Saccharomyces cerevisiae S288C: one gene and its partners. Changing the gene in region 4 together with the main gene of any one other region gives a genetic interaction. Each region holds a gene or a part of one and is shown on either strand. Other genes may lie near its edges. The genes, in order: OPT2, SYH1, ATG42 and MRF1.

Region 1 (6,504 bases), on a different chromosome or scaffold from region 4:
TGTTAGGATCTAGGAATCTGCCGAAATTGAAATCGTCCAAGTCATCGGGAAAAGAGACTTCATAAAAATCTTGATAGGATTTCCAAAGCCTTTGCCAACCCTCCTTATCGTTTTCGGTTACAAACCTTACGGTAATGTTATCTTCGCTAGTGTTGGACATGCTACACAGAAAGGGCTGTTTGCTTTCTTGGCATATAAAATACTAAGAGCAATACTTAGCCCTTTTTGCTCTATTTATAGCGTTCCCTCTCTTAATGATTGCCGCTCCCCTAATATAATTGGTAGTTCTTGCCACCCGTTAGTTCCGTCCATAAAAATGTTCAACCAATAAAAGCAAATCAAGAAGTGACTGAGAAGTACAATGAACTATGACGTTAAAAGGCTAACCCAATGCAGAAATTAAATAGAAATAAATACATTGTGTAGTCGGCCTGTAACTTGTATTTCGCAAACGTCTTATAAAGGCAAGAAAATTTCAAATGTTCGAAATCTGACATCAGCCGCATGCTATGTTGTCAATCTCTCTCAATACTCGGCTGGCTTAACCCTGAATCATCCCAAAAAACGGTGATACTGTATTTGAATATGCTTCAACCGGAGTAATTATCCAGTAGTGCAACGCATCTCATTCCAACTTGAAATATACGTTTACAAAACTATTTACCACTTGTATTTCTGCAATAATACCAAAATTCATGCAAAATAAACACCATCATTACTTGTAGTTGGAAGCAAAAAATATTCTTGATTGATTTTCAATTGCCAGGCTCCTTATCACTTCGTCGATGAGCCAAAAAAAAATGTAGTTCCTATTCTGGTATCAAAGCATTTTTCTTTATTGATAACATCCGCATACACAGAGAAAAGGCGAGAAGCATGAAAAGTGTCAAAAATATTGAACTAGAGTGTACTGTTATAGTTTTGGCAGGTATGAAGACAAAATGATGGCTTTTTACATATCAAAGTAACTCTGTACTATAGATAGAAGAATAAAAACTAAATACATGCAGGTGACTGATAGAAAAGACAAGTGCAGGGGAGAAAAAAAAATAAAGAAATGATAGCGTTCTAAGAAAAGTTCTAGTCATGGATAGTGTCCTGGAGCATAGCCGAAATAGCCATTTGCTGTATCAGTTATGTTCTTTAGAGGATAGCCAACGCCATCGGCACCAGCATACGGAACTGTATTGCCCCACCAATTAAAAGCTGTGTCTTTATATTGGACAGCAAAGAAAATGATAATAGCTGATAAAACCAAGCCCGTTGAAAAGCCTGCCGATAAAACATAATTATATTTCTCCCACAGATTTAAATGGTGTCTTTTCATGTAGTACTGGGAAATGTAACTAACAATCATACCAGAAGTGTAATACATCAGGTTATATGGAGGGCTCATATTAAGCATTCCACCTACAAATAACATTGGGTCAAAATATCTGGGATAAAACTTACCCCAGCGCTTCCAAACACCAAAAAATATGCCAATGCATGCGCCTATCAACCAACACCATTTAAATATTGGATAAATGTAATTGAAAATTCTTTTTGGCCCAATTGCACCCCAGACAACGGAAGCATTATAGTAGGTCACAGCATCAGGACAGGTGAATTTTGCGTTTTGATGAGGTGTGCAAAAGTCTTTGATATTGGAGATTTGCCAATTCAGAACACCTAGATTGACAAATATCTGAATGAAAACTATAACACATTGTCCCCTGAATAGCGCCATTGGCGGAATCTTACAATAATGCGCTATTTTTAAGTTAGAAACGTAATTATCTGCTTGGCCGTCGATGTTATAACCAAAAGCCTTCAAAATCATTATGGCGATTGGATTACCTGGTAAAGCGTACCCCATCACCATTTCAATTAGTAGATTCAAACCAAACGAATAACCAGTGGTTGCTTGAAGGATAGTAGTTGGAATCAAGAAAACAAAATTAAATCCTAAACAAACAAAAAGACCCCAAACTGGTGTATTTGTTGGGTAGTGCTCTACAACAGCTATTCCAACAACAAGTGAACCTATCAATATGGCAAAATACCACCAATCTGGAACTTCTTTATAGTTTTTCATGGCATTAGAATGTGGGTCATCATAATCGTCGAGCGCCCTGTAATCGCTTTTGAACATTGTGACCCAAGATTTAAGTTTTCTCATGGCCCACAAATTCAAAGCCCAATCTTTGAAAGCATTGAACAATAACTTTGAGTGTACAATAAACGACCATGTAATCATCAGAGGATATGCGCAAATGAAAGCACCATATGATACCAAATTTCCAGCACTATAGTATGGTGGCGAGTAGCTTTGATATTTTTTCACATCTAGCTTATTGTCACTGTCTAATACCTCAGTAACTTTAAAGGAATGGCCAGTATTAGTATACAAAGAATTTGTGAATATTGGCAGGTATTGGCAACTCATATAATTACTATAGTATACTGCAATAACAATTAAAGCTGCTAATATGCAACCAAGATATTGTGTTAAGTATGACCAAAATGGGTAAACTAAAGGAGAATTAAACGAAATAACATTCCAGTCAAAAGATGAGATAGGATTAATCCCAAGACCAGTGACTCCTCCCGTGATGTTTGCGAGATTAATGTTACTTGGCTTGATCCAGGTCATCCAATTGAAAGTGTTTAGAATATTAATAATGTAAGTGGGAAACCAGTTATAGATGAACATGATAAAAAAAGTCAAGAAAAAGAATTTATACCTGCTCATTCCAGATTCATGCTTTTCTTTACCCAATAGTGCCTTGTTGATAGCAATAGTTGGCATGACTGTTGGCCATAGTGCACGGGCTGGATAAACAACGAATTTTCTAAGGATGCCAGCAAATCCAAATCCAATAAATTGTACGGATAACGAAAGTAAAAATTGGTAGCCAAACGAGAAAGCAGAATGGTAAAAGAGTTTTTGCGTTAGAATATTGTAATGAGTATAGAACGCGCCTTGACAAATTGCATATAACAAGGTTGAAAACATTTGCTCTTTTTGGGTCCATGGTTTATCGATATTGATACCATACTTTCTGCCCCTGATGGTTATAGTCCAACAGGGGATAGTTTTAGCCCAAGCCTTACCACAGATATATAAAAACATTTGGATAATTGGAGTATTCAGTGAAATTGAAACCACCCTGTGTGAAAAAAACTCATTAAATCCTGAACCGATGACAGACCAAATTATTGCCAGAAAATATGCTCGGAATGTCTCCACTGGAATGGTGGGATCATCTTCTGGATCAACAACAGCTCTAACCTCTTGGTAAGGCGAATGAAATTTAATAGCAGAAGCAAATGCTCTAATGTCAAAGCTATCATATTCATCTATCCCCTCTTTTGAATCCAAGTCCTCCAAGTCAACCAATCTCTTCCACTCCTCATATTGATCGTGTGGAATGTTCTCATCATCCTTGAAATAGATGATAGAGTCTTTTAGTATTTTGAAGGAATCCTCAAGTGTCAATTCAGGCATTTTTTTGAGGATATACGCAACGTCTTCCGGAATATCATAAAGAGTGCGATTTTCATAACCCAGCTTCTTCATAAAGTGCAGTATCTGTTCATCCGTATACCACTGAGAAAAGTCTGATGAATGATTTGAAAGCCTCTCAGAATACTCAGCACCCTCGGCGTAATCAACAGTACCTTTTGTGGATACCTTCTCATCAATTATAACTTTATCTTTGACTGTTTCACTCATAATTTCTAATAATTCAACAGCAATATTGCGTATAACAAACCCTACTAGTTGTAGAATAAGCTAATATGTTCGTTTCTGCTATTAAAAAAATGCCGCCGTTGTTTAGACGTTCAATGTATGATTGTAAGTGTTTCAAATATTATTTTTTGGGATGTTTCGATAGGAATGAATATAAGTAACAACTGACTTGAGACATGACTTAAGTTTACACAGGATAGTGTTCCATTCCCATTTATAAATTTTTTTGAAGCGAGAAGAAACCTAGCAAGTTGATATCAATATTTTTTTTAATGTTACTTATCTTCATTGCTAATAATTCGTGAAATGATTGAAAATTTCCAATCCATGAACATTCAGAAGTAAGATAACAGCGTCCAATTGTAAAAGAACGCTATTATTATTGTAGATAAGAGAATAAACTTAAATAATCGAAGGTGTTACGAATCTTCATAAAACCCAATGGGCTGATATTGACAACCGCAATGGCGATTCACGTGTTCGGTAACCACAACAGGGGCCAAGAGGAAAACAAACTACATCAATTTTTGCAAAAGGTTAACAACGAAATGTGGGATTATTGAAAATTATAACGAAGAAACTACGTCGGACAGCAACCCCCCGATTTTTGTCGGTTGCTTTTACTGACACCATGATGTGAACCAAATTTTCTTTTGGTATTCCTCGCATAGTGTTGACTTCTTTTACCATGATAAAAATAATGAGATAAGAAGTGTTGCAGTAATATTATGTGTCACACCAGCGTGGCTGCCATATTTGAGACGGATTCGTCCGGTGGATGTGATGGATCCGTTTAATGCTGATCTCTCCTGCATTTTTTGTGAAAAATCAGATATCAATTATTGGTCTATCTGCTTTTGCCTGTTTGTTTTTTTTTCATTATAGAGTTCCTCAGTGAGTGGGATTGATGATGCGCACGGCACAATTGAAGCATTTGCTTATCAAAACATAAATATCTCCGTACCCAAATAGGAAAAACGCGTTAATGCAAAGTTGACACGTTCAGTTACTATTTCCTGAAATAATAATACAGCCCACAAAAACCCACCAATGACGCTTTTGTTGCTGAATCAGACGTTAAGTGCTGCTGCCTCCTCTGTTCTGCGCCGCCGGTTGTCTCATTACCTTTTCTGCCTATGATGATTGTATTGCAAGGCCCGAGTGGTTGCGTATGCCACGTACGAAAAGTTGTTACCGTGCCGTCACATCCCCTGCAAAGAATGTGGTACGGCACACTCCTGCTAGCTTGAGGCCCTATTCCAATGGCAATTGAGATGCTGCTTTCTCCTCTTACAATGTATGTTGATGCTTCCACTAAAAGAGGGATGAGAGAATTCATTTGACTGTGCAGTCAAATCTGTGATCTTTCTATTCTTGCTTATCTATATTCTGCCCTATTTATTTTTAGTAAAGTTTCGTATTTACATTTTTCATCATAGATCGCACCAGCGCGTGGGGCTCTTTCATTATCATCTCAACTAAATGACATACATTGCAAATACGTGAAATGAGCTGACTCAAAAAGAAATATTCTGAACTGTGAATACCAAACAAACTTAAAATAGCTGAAATTCACGTGTTGAATTACCGCATCGGTTAAGGAAAGGGAAAGTTTCTTCTCTAAATAAGGAGGAGCCTTTGCACATATGTAGATTATGTAAATACTATACTCTTTTTTTGCTTTTAGTACTTGGTATCCTACTAAATCTTTATTTTCTTTCGTTAGTGAAAAATATGAATTGAAGGATCAGTTCCTTCAAAAAGGTAAGAAAAGAAATGGACCATTCGATTAATGCTGGCACCAACATTCCACAGCACGGAATACAATTTTTGGTGTCCTTTACTTCAAGATTTGTTACTACGTGCGGCTTAGAATAACTTCATTATTTATCTAAACGACCCATAATTTTCGATGCTAAAGTCTAAAGTTGAGCAGGTAAGTTTATTAAAAACGTCTTTTTCATTACTGCTCTAGCGGGTAAAAGTCAATGACAGCAGACGCGGCAAGTTGTGACGCCTCATCGGATCCAAGAAACATTTATTTTTGCGTGCACGAGTAATCTAGCGAAACAATTTCCAAAAAATAAGTGAAAGAATATCTACTAATGCTTAGGATTACCAAATTCAAAAATAACCCTTTTAAAGTATAAACTTTGCATTTCAGAGATTCTCTGGCATGGCAAATATTACGAATAAGGAAAGCAAGGTAAGATATATTAGAAGGACCAAATTGTTAAAGAGACATCTAACAGGTGAGTTTGAAAAGTAATATATGGAAAGGATGGTAATACAGATTTAGCGCAAATAATAGTTGTATTATCAAATGAAATGTGAACTTTTTTATATGAAAGTCCATAGGGTAGACTACTGTCGCCATAATTTCGTAGAAGAAGAGAAATTCATGATAGGCGTCAGCATTATTACAGGCGCGGGTCTTAAATTTATGGAACTATAATTGTTGTAATTAAGATGAGGCCAAGATTAGGTGGGTAATATGTTTCATGCTTTTTACTACTACTGCAAGATTTTTTTTTCCACAAAGTTTATTTGTTGGCATTTCTAGTTACGAAACTCTCGTTGCTAACATCATGTTAGTCTGACAAGTTACATATTCGTTTCGACGTCGCCATTCTACGCACTTAGGCCAAATAACACATCTCTTTTACATTTGAAATTGCTACCATTTATTCCTGTTCGATCTTAAGATTGACTAAACCATAATCCGAGCCTAATATTCACGTTTAGGCGGGGGGTACTAAATCACAAAA
Region 2 (4,640 bases), on a different chromosome or scaffold from region 4:
AGATGTGGGTTTTCAAACGTGGCAATTGCATGAAAATTCTCAAACCAATTTGAATTAGCTTGTTCGTCATTTTCAATTGGTAGCACTATTGGAACTCTATAATTGTAATTACTGTTATTTGTCAGAAACGACCATCGTTCTTTGTACTCTTCCATATTTGAAAAGGCACTTCTTAGAATAATTACTTCAAAAACGGGAAATTTTTTGTTCAAATGACTAAAGGCATTGAACTCGCCTAAATTGATAATCTTCAAATCTGGCGCTCTCAAATCTGGCTTGTCAATACCATATGAGGTCATGGCTTGTTCGTAGGTCATACGAAAGATAGATACTGTGCCGTTTTCCTTTTTCGCAGGCACTAATGTACCCTTACTGTCTAAAGTCAATAATCCTCGTTTTTTGGAAAATTTACTCCATACCCCAGAAACTGTCTTTTCTATGATTTTCATGACATCTTCAGAATTAGCAAAGGCCATTTCCATATCAACCTGTGTAAACTCAGGCTGCCTGTCTGCTCTTAAATCTTCATCTCTAAAGCACCTTGCCATTTGATAATATTTGTTGACACCACTAGCCATTAAGAGTTGCTTGTATTGTTGAGGGCTCTGATCTAGAGCATAAAACGATGGTTTACCATCGGATCTCTTTGTCCTTGTTGGAACCAGAAACTCTCTTGCGCCTTCTGGGGTAGCTTTAAATAACATTGGGGTCTCGACCTCCGTAAAATCAAAATTGTTGAAGGAGTTTCTTATTTCCTTAGAGATAGATGACCTCTTCTTTAAAAAATCTTGATATTTGGGATTTCTCAATTGCAAATAGCGGAACTCAGGTGGGTATATGGCTGACAATTTAAAATCCTGCATTTGCGCTGGTTTTTTATTAGATGCATTTAACACAGTAATATCCTCCAATTGCACTTCGTACTCATCTGCGTCCTCATTTGATAGCTTCCTCTTCAAAGAGAGTATACCTACGGCTTGAACCACATCCTCTAAAGTAAAGCCTTTCAACAACGATTTGTTATCAACCAACTGGATAATGTCACCGTTAGAGTCCCTTAAAAGTCCGAAGATCAAATTTTTCCCAACTCTTTTTGGCTTCTGCTCTATCCATCCATTGAGTACTATTTTCTGGCCGCTAGACAGTCCTTTTAACTGTTTGATGGTCGAGGTGTCCTTCCTAAAGAGAAATTTTTTCTTAATAGCATTGGCTTCTGGAAAGTCTGCCAACCGTCTAGTGATTGTCTGCAAGCACACCCTGGAACGGGCCAACATGATTAAAACTTGTAATGTTTAGTCTTTTCAAAAAAGCATGCACTCAACTGAATCAAAATGTTAAGAAAACATGAATAATGAATAAATGAGGCATTCAATGCCATCTATTACTTCCTACTCCCATTTTCACCTTATTATTGTACTTTGGTACGGCAGTAGCTTTCTGAAATTTCATCTACCAAACTTTGCAAGCACGAAAAAGAAAGCAAAACATTTCATTTACCATGGACGCATGGAGAAGGTCGATTTTGCCACAGCTTGCACAAGATTGGCAGTGGCAGTAAGTGATGAATCCTATCAACTCTCTAGCGTTTGACCTTCACAGTGTTAAACTTGCAGACGCGAACTCAGACACTGCTGCATTATCAAATAGCAATACTCCAACCATGAACAATGCGGCTCTTTTGCAAAGGCCCTCCTCCATTATGGATTCTATTGGCGTCCAAAGAGTTCCATCTCCTTTTGTGCCAGGGAGTAATGCGATTAGTGGAGCCAGTACTGTTCCCTTCAATGCATATGACGCTGAAATTACTGGATCTCCGCTACAAATATCTGCTAATCAGGAAAACAATAGTGCATTTAGTGCAGCATCATCCAACCTGCATATGAACGCCAGCAGCCCTTCCGTTCTCAATAAACCCTCGAGCACATTTCCAAATGTAGCTCCTTATCTCTACAACGCAACAGGGCCTGCCCCCAACGTTGGTAATCAACCCCCACCACCGGGGATAGAATCTCAGTGGAAATACATTGACTCTAATGGTAACATTCAGGGGCCTTTTGGTACCAATAATATGTCACAGTGGTATCAAGGAGGTTATTTTACTCCAACTTTGCAAATCTGTAGATTAGCAACATCTCCTGAGCCATTTGGTGTAAATGATCGGTTTATTAGACTAGGTGAATTGACTACTCTGGTGAATAATTATCAAGACCCTTTTGTCGCCTTTGATTTCATTGTTATTAGAGCTTTGAATGCTGTTCCACTTGTTGCACCAACTTCATCAGAAAAGCAAAAAGTTGAGTCAAGAGATTTGATACCTGTTGCTGATGTGCATAGTGATGATTTTACGTATGAAGAAATCCTTGGCCTTAAATTTGAAGATGGAAGTTACTATCATGAAACTCAGGTTTGGGTTCCGGTTGACGGCCGTCATATCACAAAGGTAGATCGCATACCAAAGATATCTGCATATACCGCTCCTCTATCCACGACTTCTAGTAGATCTAATAAAACCACTTCTTCCCATGAAGAGAAGGTTCCTTCCCACGAGGAAGCTTCTCCAGAGGAGCAAGAGGTTTTTTCAGAAGAGGGCAGAACTGTTTCTAACATAACAAATGAAGAGGAATCTATTGTCAAAAATCCTACTAAGCAGGAGGAAGAATCTCGAGGAAGCGAGAAAGAGCAAAATATATTGGATCAAGTTCAACCAGAGATTGAAGAGGTAGACCGTAAGGATGTAATATCCACTGCTGATGAGCCGAAAAGCAAAGATACGCCGCAAATGACTTCTGAAGAGCAGAAAAGGTTTGCAAAGGCAGAACTGATGGCACAAAAATTATTGGAAGAACAACAAAGACAAGAAGAAGAAAAAAAGAGAAGAGAAGAACAGCGCAAATTAAAGAAGGAGAAAAAATTGAAGCAAAAGCAGAAAAAGGAAGAAGAGAAGTTAAAAAAGAAGAAGAAGGAAGAAGGAAAATTAGAGAAAGAAAAGCAAAAAGAATTGCTAAATAACATTTTAACTGGAGATACAGAAACTCCATCTTCCGAAAACACCGCAACTTCCATAACCACTAATTTGGCGCCTTGGGCTAACAAGAAACCCGAGGGTGCTGTTTATAATCAGATTTCATCTGCTCTTGAAGATTTGAAGAAGGAGAACTCGTCCAAGAAAGAAAAAAAACCTAATCGTACTCAGTTAGATCGTGAGCAGGCATTAAAACTACAGAAAGAAATATTAAGCTCGGCGCAAATTCCGAAAACTCAAACTGGTTCTGCCTGGGGTATAAAGCCACAGCAACCGATCAAAGTTGATATTAAAGGAGAATTGATGAAAGACAGTACCAAAATTAACAGTCAGTCTAAAATTAACAAGGCCAACAATGGTGATATTAAACCAGATTCCACTTTTATTGAAGAGCAGAAAAAGCTGTGGGAACAAGTTCAAAAGAAAACAAAGAAATTCAACCGCGCTTCTTCACTCGATGATTTCATTTCAAGAACGCCTTCCCCATCTTCTTCGGCATTGAACTCTTCGAATACTAGCAATGCGTGGACCACGGTTTCTTCTAAGAGCACAACCCACATCGCTTCCACCATGCCTGTCGCTGGTAACCAGTCAAAGTCATATATCAGTTTGGACACACTGCGTTCTTCTGGGGGGTTATCTACCGCAACAAAAACTAAAATGAGCGATAAGAGTAAACAAATTGGCTCATCCACTAGTATCCCGACTTTAAAGGCCCGTCAAGTTAAACCGTCTCGCATCCCTGCCTATCCCGGTAACGCTTCTGTCTCTAAGCGTCAAGAATTTTTGAGATGGTGCCGATCCCAATTAAAACTAAATACGGGTGTTCAGCCCGATAATGTTTTAGAAATGCTACTTAGCTTGCCCCCAGGTTCAGAATCCAAGGAAATTATCGCAGATACCATATATTCCTACAGTTCAACAATGGACGGTAGGAGATTTGCCACTGATTTCATCAAAAAACGTCTAGAATGCGAAGAAGAAATTAATGACCCCTTGAGCTGGAGTGAAGTATTAGCTATGCCTGAAGGCAGTTCCGAAGACTGGGAATTTCAAGTTGTTGGTAAAAAGAAAGGAAAAAGATTTTGAAGCCTTTTTGTTCCATAGTAGTTGTTTACTACGCGTGTATATCTTCTATTCAATGTATTAACTAGTATAACTCCCATCTATTTGTATAATTAATTGAAATTAAATATCTTGATAACTAATAACAGTACTAAGAACGCTACAATAATATGTTAGCGTGTGCAAACTACCTATAGCTAGTATATCGATTAAATGTTTGAAGCCACATGAATTGAGAAAGGTAAGCACATTTTTCAAATTGCAGAACGTATCATTTAGCGAATCTATCGTCTGTTTGAAGGTTCTTAATGGAGATGAGAAGTGTTTAAGTTGGTTGAGCGCATAATCATTTGTTACGTGTATTTCTTTTCTTTTTTTCTTTTTTTTTTTCGAAGGCAATGAAAAAAGAAATTTAACGAAGATGATTCTAGAAGATTCCTTTTCCAAAGAGCACTACTTGTCAATATAACCTTAGTGATAAAAGTTACTGTCCATTTTAAACTCCCTCTGTCTTGATTTTTCTTCTTATAACTCAGTTAGTTCTGATTCTTAT
Region 3 (5,207 bases), on a different chromosome or scaffold from region 4:
TCCTTTACTCTTTGAAGGTGGTCTCCTGTTCATGGTAAATTGTTTGAAGCGACTGTACACGGTCCATCTTCAACTTGGATTCGATGGCAAATCGCTAGCCAAAAAATTAATGGAATCTAGAAATTTTGCTGCTACGCTTTTGGCTAAGTTAGAGTCATACAATGGATGCATATGGAACGAAGATAATTTTCCTCATATTATTTTAGGTTTCATTGCAAACGGTTTATCCATTCCTGTCGTAAAAGGAGCCGCATTAGATTGTCTACAGGCCCTTTTCAAGAATACATATTACGAAAGAAAGTCCAACCCAAAATCCTCCGATTATCTTTGTTACCTTTTCTTACTCCATTTGGTCTTAAGTCCTGAACAACTTTCTACCTTGTTACTTGAAGTCGGCTTCGAAGATGAACTGGTACCTTTAAATAATACACTAAAAGTGCCACTTACTTTGATCAACTGGCTAAGTTCAGACTCAGATAAATCTAATATAGTCTTATACCAAGGAGCACTTTTGTTTAGCTGTGTTATGTCAGACGAACCATGTAAATTCCGTTTTGCTCTATTGATGAGGTATTTGCTCAAAGTCAACCCTATTTGTGTATTCAGGTTCTATACGCTGACTAGAAAGGAATTCAGGAGGTTATCAACCCTAGAACAATCATCTGAAGCGGTTGCTGTCTCTTTTGAATTGATTGGGATGCTTGTTACACACAGTGAGTTTAATTACCTAGAGGAATTTAATGATGAAATGGTCGAACTTTTAAAAAAGAGAGGCTTGTCAGTTGTGAAGCCTCTGGATATTTTTGATCAGGAACATATAGAAAAGTTAAAAGGAGAGGGTGAACATCAAGTGGCAATTTATGAGAGAAAAAGATTAGCAACAATGATACTGGCAAGAATGTCGTGCTCCTAATTTTAAATTAGAGTATTGCAGTGATTATATACGTTTTTCCTTATAATTATATTTTGTTTTATATTTGTTGGATTGTAGATTTTAAATTAAATGAAACGTAGAGATTTGTGTAAAGTATAATGATTGCAAGGTTAAGAGTGAAACATTTTTAGAGCACTACTAACTAGCATTTTCCAAGGTGGAAAGATCCGAAAAAGCACGATTACCGGAAATCCAACTGTTGACCATTTCCAAACTTGCCTCCGGTTGATCATAGGGCACCATATGACCGGCATCGTATATTCTCAAAAAGGTGAAAGGGCCATAGTTCTTGACTTGTCCCAACTCTTCACCTGTTTCTTTACTGACCCATGGTCTTAACATCCTTCTCTGATACCTACGTTTATTGATCCATTCCAACTCATTGGACCAAGCATGGTTTCCCAGCCAATTACAAATATAATCCTTATCACCCGCATATATTAATACCGGAATGTTGTGATTTAATAATTCAGCAATATATTGTTGAAATGGTTTACTTCCATCGCCCGTAAACAAAAATCCGGTGAACACGTCATTATCACAGCCAGAATAATTATGCACGTCGGACCCTAGCGTTTCTTGAACTTCAGGAAAATTCATATACTGGTCGACATAGCGGAGACCTGTATAACACATACCATCAGTACTATTATCTTCACAGGGCCCTCTAATGTCATAGACGTTGAGTCCTGTGTTAATGTACGGTTCCAAAAGTGCAGAGTCACAGTAAGCAGTGGCGACTATGCATGGTAAACTTGATTTAGAAGCATAACATAACTTGTTCAACCTACGACAACGACCTGCAGCTTTACTCATTTTCTCACATTCTTCTGATGAGAGAACAGGGTGATAGCCCCCTTTCCCGCATGCCATTGGTTCATAATAATCTGCTTGAATCAAAGGGTCTGTGATACCATTACCAATCATAACTGAAGTTAAATTGAACGTTCTTTCAGGGTTCTTGACAACGATCTCATGTGCAATTTGAGGGATATAATGTCCTGCATAGGATTCGCCTGCAATGTGGAAATCGTTGGAGCGTAAATGAGGAAAAGCTTCAAAAAACAATTCCAGGAAAATGTACGCATCTTTGCCTGCTAATTTTGTAGAGGAGACTTTTTCATCACCATAGGAAAAGCCGACTCCGAGTGGCTGTTCTAAGAAGATCATTGAAGCGTTATTATTCCAAGAATAGGGATTGTGGATTGGTTTCATATCGGCGCCAATTGATGAGGGGCCTAGTTCAAATAGCAACCCAGTAAACGAGGAACAACCAGGTCCACCATTTAACCAAAGAATAATTGGGTCGTTAGCAGGATCGTTCCTACTTTCAAAAAACCAGTAAAAAAAGTGTTTGGAATCCTTATAGTCCATGTAACCCGACCATTGTTTTACGGTGTCAATTCCTAGTTTAGAAGGATCTACTGTTCTAAGTCTCAAACTGTAATCTGTGTCCACAGAAGAAATAAAAGTTGTAAACAGCGGATCATCGTGATTCAAACGGTCCAATTTAAGGGTTTGCTGTGTATTCTGTGGAAGCTTTAGCTGTTTATCCAAATTGGCAAAGGTGGTATCATCTTCAAAAAGAGAAAAGGCTCGGCCGAATGAGGCGTATTTGATGCTAATAAGAAGCTGAAGCACGAAAACTAAGTTTAGATACTTCATTGTATGTCGGTATCACTTTTTGTATAGCTGTTTTAAAGAAAAAATGCAGGATGACAATTTTCGTTCTTATATAACCCCTGTCCCCTGACATTTTTCGATAACGAAGCGTTATCTCACCTTTCGTAGAATGCTAGCGCCGCCTCGGCCATTTTTAGGAAATTTCCTAAATCGCTCACATTGTAAACAAGAACATCTTAGAGAACTCTAAGCACTTTTAGAAAAAAGGATTATACTAAACGAGTCAAAAACTATTTATCCAACAAGTCACAGATTGGAATAGTCTCGAAAACTTGATCCAACCACTAATTAAAAGGTTAAAATTAAAGGATGGAGAAAGATCAAATCCAGCCTAGGGTGTTGGAGTCAGTAGACACAAACTCATTATCCTTGCTTTCGTCCAATACCAGCTCAAATATGAATAGCAACACCAACAATAAACTCAGTATAATTGCCAGTGATATTTCTACAGGATCCGTACTTTCCAGGCCCTTGACTCCTCCAGTCGTCCAGGATATAGAGAATAACTCCATGTTACAATGGCAATTTGAAAAGAAGGAATTTATCTTCGATAGTAACAGCACTCCTTCGAAGCAGGCAAAACCATTGCAGAGAAATTCTCCATACCAAGGCAATAGTCAAAGTGAAAATCAGAACCAACAGTTATTGAATGTAAGAAAGCGTCGCTCACAATTGATAGGTGCCAAGCCTAAAATTCCATCCAAATTGTACCAATCTGTTTCCAAATTAGATCTAATTGATGACAAGAGCTTTACGTCTTTGCCAATTGCGCCTCCATGCAATATCGAAACTAATGAAGATGACAGTGGAAACAACGAATACAACAACAATAAAAAACGGCCCAGGTTGAATCCTGTAAATGAACTGCGAGTGCATAACAACAAACGTAATAGGTACGTCAGTTATGGGCCGAGTTTAGATACAAAAAACTACGAGCTAACAGAAAATACTTCTCAGGATATACCACCGCTAGTCCTGGTTGAAGACTACATACCGTATACCCAAAGTAAATCAACAAAAAAAATGGTATCTATTTCAGATTTGAAATCAAAACTAAGTAAAAGAAGAGATAATCATATCCCGCTGAGAGTAAAAAATTCATATTCTGAAATTAATAAGGAAACCAATAGAAATAGCTTTGAACCGAATTCACTAACACTGATACCCCATATATTAAGGAATACTGAAGAAAATAGGGACGAAAGTAACAACCCCTTAGATTTTATCAAAGAGGAAATTGAAATAAGTGATATTTCCATACCAAATTCCATTGAAAATATGGTGGTTAACTTGGTTAATATTCCATCTTCCAATAAAAGTTACGATGATCTTTATCTATCGGAATTAAATGTTCATTCCCAACTGAGGAAATGTGTCATCTGCGAAAAGGCCCTATATGAAATTAGCTCGAGACTTTTAAATTCAGGATACTATAAAGAAATTGTATGTGAGCAATGCACAGTTAGATATGAAGAAGCCGCTAAAATCTTTGAGAACTGCGAGTTCGAATCATCTATGGATGAATCAAATCTAAGCAGCGGTACTTTTAGTGATCTAGAGAATTCAGCAGAACCGTTTCATTTATCGACAGATGTTCCAAAAAAAATAAATAGGCACATAGAAGATAACAAGATCGACCTTAAAAAGGAAATATCAAAAAAAAAGGACAGCTTCTCTAAGGAACTAATAGAACGATTGCAGTTGCAATTGCTAGAAAATGATAAGTCAATCAAACATCATTTTAATAAAGATGCAATGGGCTCTAAATCAATGAATTGGTTTTTGGAAGCAAGAAGAAAATTGAAGTGGAAGTGGAGAATAAATGGTTTACTTCCGCATTTCTTACGCAATCAAAATAGTGATCGTTTAAATTTTCAACCTTGAAAATACATTGCTAAGAGATCACTAAAACAAACAGGACTGCATTGGTGCTGTGTATTTTTTCAAGGGCAAAACAATCAATATATATATGAAAAGCTTACGACTAAATAACAGTTATACTAGTAACGGGTAAAAAATATTCTATGGTGTTCAAGCCTCTATTTTACTTCTACCTACATTCTCAATCCAAATTCAAATCTTCTTCTAGACTTTCATTAGCAAATGCAATTAAAGAGCTGACTGCCATTAAATGGTCTTCTTCCTGCTTCAATCCACTTATAGTTAAGCAGGCATAGGGGTAGTCACTTCTCTCCGATTGTATTAGGACAGCACCTCCATGGAAAGCGTATTCTTTTGAGTCCACAAAAAACTTTTCCTCCGGTGTTTTGTCACCTTTCTTGCAGCCCATATAGAAACTTGAATGACCAAATCGAAGCGCTGTCTTCTTCTTTCTCTGGATCCAAAAATCATTGTCCAATGCACTGCCACCGTAGGTCACTGTGCGAAACAAGCAATGCCCATTTGGTAAGGAGATATCAATTGCAACTGGTTTTTCGGGGAAATTTTCTTTAACTGCATTTCTTATGTAAGTCCCCAAATCAAAGGCATCTTGATATGTAAAAGTAGACAAAAAGCATCGTTTTTCCATATCTTCGAGCTCTTCTAAGGGAACCTTACGAGAAGTCAATCTTTCCAATAACTTCTTGTC
Region 4 (4,841 bases):
AACCGTATGCGTTGGCAAACTTTCTTCGGACTATAATGTTGTTGTGAGCGTCAGGTTTTAAAGCAACGACAACCTTTCTCCATGCCATTCCTTCATGCCACCTTCGAGCAATCGTTTCTTCCAAATTTCGATACTTCGCACGTTCTTTCTTTCCTGCAAAAAAAGCCTGAAGGAGTATATTCTTTTTACCAAAAAAACCGTCTTCGATATCAAATTCGGATTGTGGAATGTCATCCTCATTGTATATCTTATCATGAATAATTACAGGATCTCTTGAATCTGGATCCATTATGTACGCTCTTTCAGGTAAAGGAGGAAGGAGAATTGAGCTTGCTGACTCGAAAAATGATACTTTAGGAATTTCGGAACCATTCTCCGTAGGAAACTTTTGTGGCGCCAGTATACTCAACATTTTAGTCAGAGGCGAAATGAAAGTTTTATTGAAGAAATCTTGATTCACAGGTGTTGAAGCATCATTTATTAGCGGTGATTTTTTGCTGTTCTCCTTTAGTTTCTGTAATTGCTCCAAGATATCATTATAGTCTAGGAACAATAGCGATGCGGTATACAATGGGACAATTCCGTCATTAATAGCGTTCGCATATACTGTCCTCCTTTTGAACCTACGCAAAATCTCTATCAAGGGCAGACCAGATAGCAAGTAGAGAAGCGGTTTGCCTACTTCAACATCATTTTCCAAACCCAAGTCTTGACCTGTTTTTCCAATAACCCCGAATGAAAGTAGTACTTTAATATAGGCGGGATTATCTGTGACTATACCTAAAAGCGGTGAAGCTAAAGTAATAAAATTTATTGGATTCACCTTTTTAAAAAACCAAGGGTAGACTTCATAAATGTACGCTATTGCGAAAGCCTGGATTAGGCCACCCAATGAATGACCTACAAAAGAAATCTTGCGGATGGATTCATCGTACAAATCCTGGATAATATATTCGGCCAAACGAGTACCTAAATACTTAACTCCCTTCTCAGTTTGACAGACATTTCCCCTATAACCTTTCACAACAATTTGTTCGTGGGGATAATTCTTTTGTGCTTTGTATATCTGTTCCATAATATACACTAGATCGGTCGACACATTAGAATGTAAACCATGTGTCAAAACTACAAGATGTTTCTTTTTCTGTGGTGTGGTAATCTGAACGGGAAGATTCCACAAATCCAAGGTAGTTAACCTGTTCACTGTAAGTTTAGGGCTATAAGAACCTAGATGAGATGGCAGATCATGCGGATTTTCTACTGACTCTTTACTAGTTCCAATAGTGACTTCGTAAGTGACGTTCGTATTTGTAGTGAACAATATTTGACTCATCACATCAGCAATCCATACGTATTTCTGTCGTATGTTATGTACTGAAAGTTCAGCCACGAAATCTTGTTGAGTTTGCACATTCGGTTCAAATTTGGGGTAATCAACTGAAGCAACTATTTTTTGGGAATGATGATATTGGGCAGTTTTTACATCGCAATAAAGCATGAATGGACCCATTAGGTACGCAGCTCTATACGATAACGGATTCATATTTCTCACCTTTAACCACAAGGAATTTAAATTCAAATCTGGTGGAATTTCCTCACCGTCATAAAGATGATAAGTAATTACATATCTCTCAAGTTCACCAACCTTCACTGAAGACTTGTAATGAAACAATATTTCATTAGTTGGTGTCAGAGACATCTTGAGCAAAACACGGTTCGTACTTCACTCTCTTTGTGTACTATTCTTACTGAACTGTTGAGGCGGTACAATTTATTTCACAGAGTTTTGCATATTTCGGGCATCTACTATGTGCGTCAGTTCTTACGTGGCGCAGAACAATAGAAAAGAAGATTTACAGAAGTGATAGATACGATATGATATTTACAAGAAACGAAAAGTTACGTTCGTCAGTTACTCTCCAATAATTCTTTTGCCCGTTCGGTGCTATCATATTTAGACATTGCCTCAATAACTTCGTCCAATCGTTCTCCAGATAACACACCTGGCAGGTCCAACAATGTGAACCCGCACCTATGATCAGTGATTCTGTTCTGTGGAAAATTGTATGTTCTAATTTTATCAGACCTATTGGTGCTAGAAACCTGACTCTTTCTTGCTTTTCTTTCTTTTTCCTCCTTTTCCAGCCTTTCCTTCTCTGCAAGTCTCGCTCTTAAGATCGTAAATGCTTTAGCCTTATTCTTGTGTTGAGATCTTTCATCTTGCATGGAAACAACAATTCCAGAGGGGATATGGGTTAATCTGACAGCAGAGTCTGTCGTATTCACATGTTGACCACCTTTCCCGCTTGCACGCATGATGTCAACTCTGATTTCACCAGGTTTAAATGTTCTTTCATAAGCGTCAATAGATTTAGCAGATTCGTCACCAATTTGAGGTAACACAACCACGGCAGCAGTGGATGTGTGCGTCCTTCCTTTAGTCTCCGTACTAGGAATTCTCTGCACCCTGTGAACGCCTGCTTCAAACCTCAAACGATCGTAAGATCCGGCTTCTTCAATGCTCAGAATGGCATCGATAATGCCTGACCCACTTTCGTTTTCATTTTTCGATATAATTCGATACTTCCATTTTCTATAGTTGGCATAGCCAATATACATATCCAATAGATTCTGGGTAAAAATCATGGCTTCAATGCCACCTACACCCGGTCGAAGCTCTAGTAAGCTAGGTTTATCTGCGAACGGATGCGGTGGAAGAAGTTTATTTACCAATCTTGAGGAGGTCGTTTCATATTGGGGGACCAGTTCTGCATATTCTTGTTCAGCCTCCGCCCTTAATGATGGATCAGATACAATCATTTCTTGTAAACTTTTCAATTCATTTAGTTTTTCCTTATACTCAATAAATGTATCAGTGAGCGCTGATAATTTAGCATAATGTTTCTGCTTATTCACGTCAAAATGAATGCCGCAAGAAAGGTCTTTGTCAAGATCTTTTAGTTCAGCTTCATACTTTTCCGCTTGCTTAACAAGTAACGGAGAGAGTTCTGTGTATTGTGTTGGGATGCTGCCGTTGCTCTTAGAGTTAGTCGTTGTTGATGTCAGTCGCACTAGTAACGGCAACTTGTGACCCAAAAAAACACCCTTAAAGATGGACCTCGAGGGGAACTGGAACTTTGAAAGCCACATGCTTGCACCAATGAAATATATTGTTCTGCTCTACGAACTTTTCATTCCTGAGATATTATAAAACATATGATACGCACTATTAACGCTCTGTATTTATCCTCCGAGCGAGCAAATCCTCCTAACAAGTATATGAAATACACAATTACTCAGCCTAGTACAGATGGCACAACGAGAAGTAACACATATATTTTCTGAGAGGCCTTATTGCATAATTATACACATATATTAATATCATGTAGTAAATAAATCACTAATAATTAAAGGCTTTTTCGCGAAATGAAGTAAACTGATAAGTGAAGAATACACAAATTTAAATATCTGCCGCTGGAATATCGCTATAATCGAATGGTAATTTATAATAAATTATTATGTCTCCTGATCTTCTTGAATCCCAGTGCGCAAGAGAGTTGAAGAATCTATTGTATTCAATGTATGATGAATCTTTCAGGAAATCCTTTAGAAATGCGTTTTCCATGTGCTCGAAAACAACCAAATATGTTGGCCATTCGTGGCTGTATGTTTTACCTGGACTCCTTAGATCCTTACGAAAAGGCGGTGGGAAATTTTTGTAAATGAATGCCGATATATCGTCATACAAATGGTCACTTTCATCCATGTAGGTCTCTAGTTTGGAGTAAGCCTCTGGGTCTCCAAGTAAATGCAATGGAGGGTTACAAGTAATCGACCACAGATCTTGAATGTCACTGCGGTGTAAATAGCTTTGACCAGGTGTCGAATGACAGGGCATTATGAATCCCAAACTATCTATTTCTGGCTCTTCATGTAAAAATTTCATAACTTCGATAGATCCAGATTCGTGGAATGTGTCCAAAAGTAATGCGATGAACACCGACACGAATGGAACAAGCCAGAGTAAAGATTTTAGGCCAGATAGTCTTTTCCAATAATCTCTATCAAGTCTCAAAAGGCCAAATGATGATATTAATATGAAAAGTGGCTGTAATGGGAAGATGAACCTAAATTCCTTATGAGGTAACGTAGAGTACACCAACAGATTCAACAAGATAGTGAGTTTCACTTGGAAAAACGGGTTTAAATACTTCTTTGGGAAACTCCTTTTGCTTAGTGGAAAAAATAATCCAAATGCAAAAGCGGGAATACTTGCACCTAATACGATAGGTAAGCTTTGAAAGAAATGAAAATGCCAAGGAGCTACCCCATAAAACTTTGATAATGGTGTTGTGAAATTGAATTTTAGAAATCGGAAAAAGGGAAACGTTACTTTTTCATAAAAATACATGTCGATAATTGCATTTGCAGTAAATACCAGAAAAAAAGACCGTAAAACTTTGGAAAATGTGATGAAAAGTAAATGATACTGCTTTTTGCCTACCAAGTTTAATATTAGGGAAATGCTGGGAATTACCCAAATAAGTCCACTGCTGGGTCTTTGCAAACATGCCAGAAATGCAAAAATAAGCGACTTAGTAAAAGATGACTCTTTTATCATTTGTCCGCCTGTCCAGTCCCAGTAGTAGAGGGCAATAGAAGTTAAAATCATTTCAAAAGAGTTGATGAACGTTCTTGTAATAAAAAAGCAATTAAAAAAATTAGTTAAACTTAAAAGCAGTGCAAACTTCGTAATCTCGGATAAACCGCTGCGTCTCTCCTCTTCCTCCTTCTCGTTTCTCTTATCAAGTGTAAGTAAATAGAGCTTTTGAACAAATCTT

What was found.
Region 1: mutations in MRF1 (region 4) and OPT2 are lethal when combined (synthetic lethality), as found in Saccharomyces cerevisiae (one large-scale study listed by BioGRID).
Region 2: mutations in MRF1 (region 4) and SYH1 together harm fitness less than expected from each alone (positive genetic interaction), as found in Saccharomyces cerevisiae (one large-scale study listed by BioGRID).
Region 3: mutations in MRF1 (region 4) and ATG42 together harm fitness more than expected from each alone (negative genetic interaction), as found in Saccharomyces cerevisiae (one large-scale study listed by BioGRID).

Annotation. Positions count from the first base shown.
Region 1 is NC_001148.4:923,220-929,723, forward strand, and holds OPT2 (Opt2p), read right to left. Parts: upstream 3,719-6,504; coding exon 1,085-3,718; downstream 1-1,084. Other genes in the region: HPA2 (histone acetyltransferase), read right to left, coding at 1-160; YPR195C (uncharacterized protein), read right to left, coding at 4,746-5,075. UniProt on the Saccharomyces cerevisiae protein: Transports tetra- and pentapeptides. Does not transport glutathione.
Region 2 is NC_001148.4:352,334-356,973, reverse strand, and holds SYH1 (Syh1p), read left to right. Parts: upstream 1-1,561; coding exon 1,562-4,111; downstream 4,112-4,640. Other genes in the region: aspartate--tRNA ligase MSD1, read right to left, coding at 1-1,274.
Region 3 is NC_001134.8:513,056-518,262, reverse strand, and holds ATG42 (carboxypeptidase C), read right to left. Parts: upstream 2,600-5,207; coding exon 1,073-2,599; downstream 1-1,072. Other genes in the region: GTPase-activating protein IRA1, read left to right, coding at 1-913; YBR138C (uncharacterized protein), read left to right, coding at 2,927-4,501; YBR137W (uncharacterized protein), read right to left, coding at 4,680-5,207. UniProt on the Saccharomyces cerevisiae protein: Vacuolar serine-type carboxypeptidase involved in vacuolar zymogen activation, breakdown of the autophagic body, and autophagosome-dependent protein synthesis.
Region 4 is NC_001139.9:232,809-237,649, forward strand, and holds MRF1 (Mrf1p), read right to left. Parts: upstream 3,151-4,841; coding exon 1,909-3,150; downstream 1-1,908. Other genes in the region: putative lipase ROG1, read right to left, coding at 1-1,699; GPI10 (putative glycosylphosphatidylinositol-alpha 1,2 mannosyltransferase), read right to left, coding at 3,461-4,841. UniProt on the Saccharomyces cerevisiae protein: Mitochondrial peptide chain release factor that directs the termination of translation in response to the peptide chain termination codons UAA and UAG.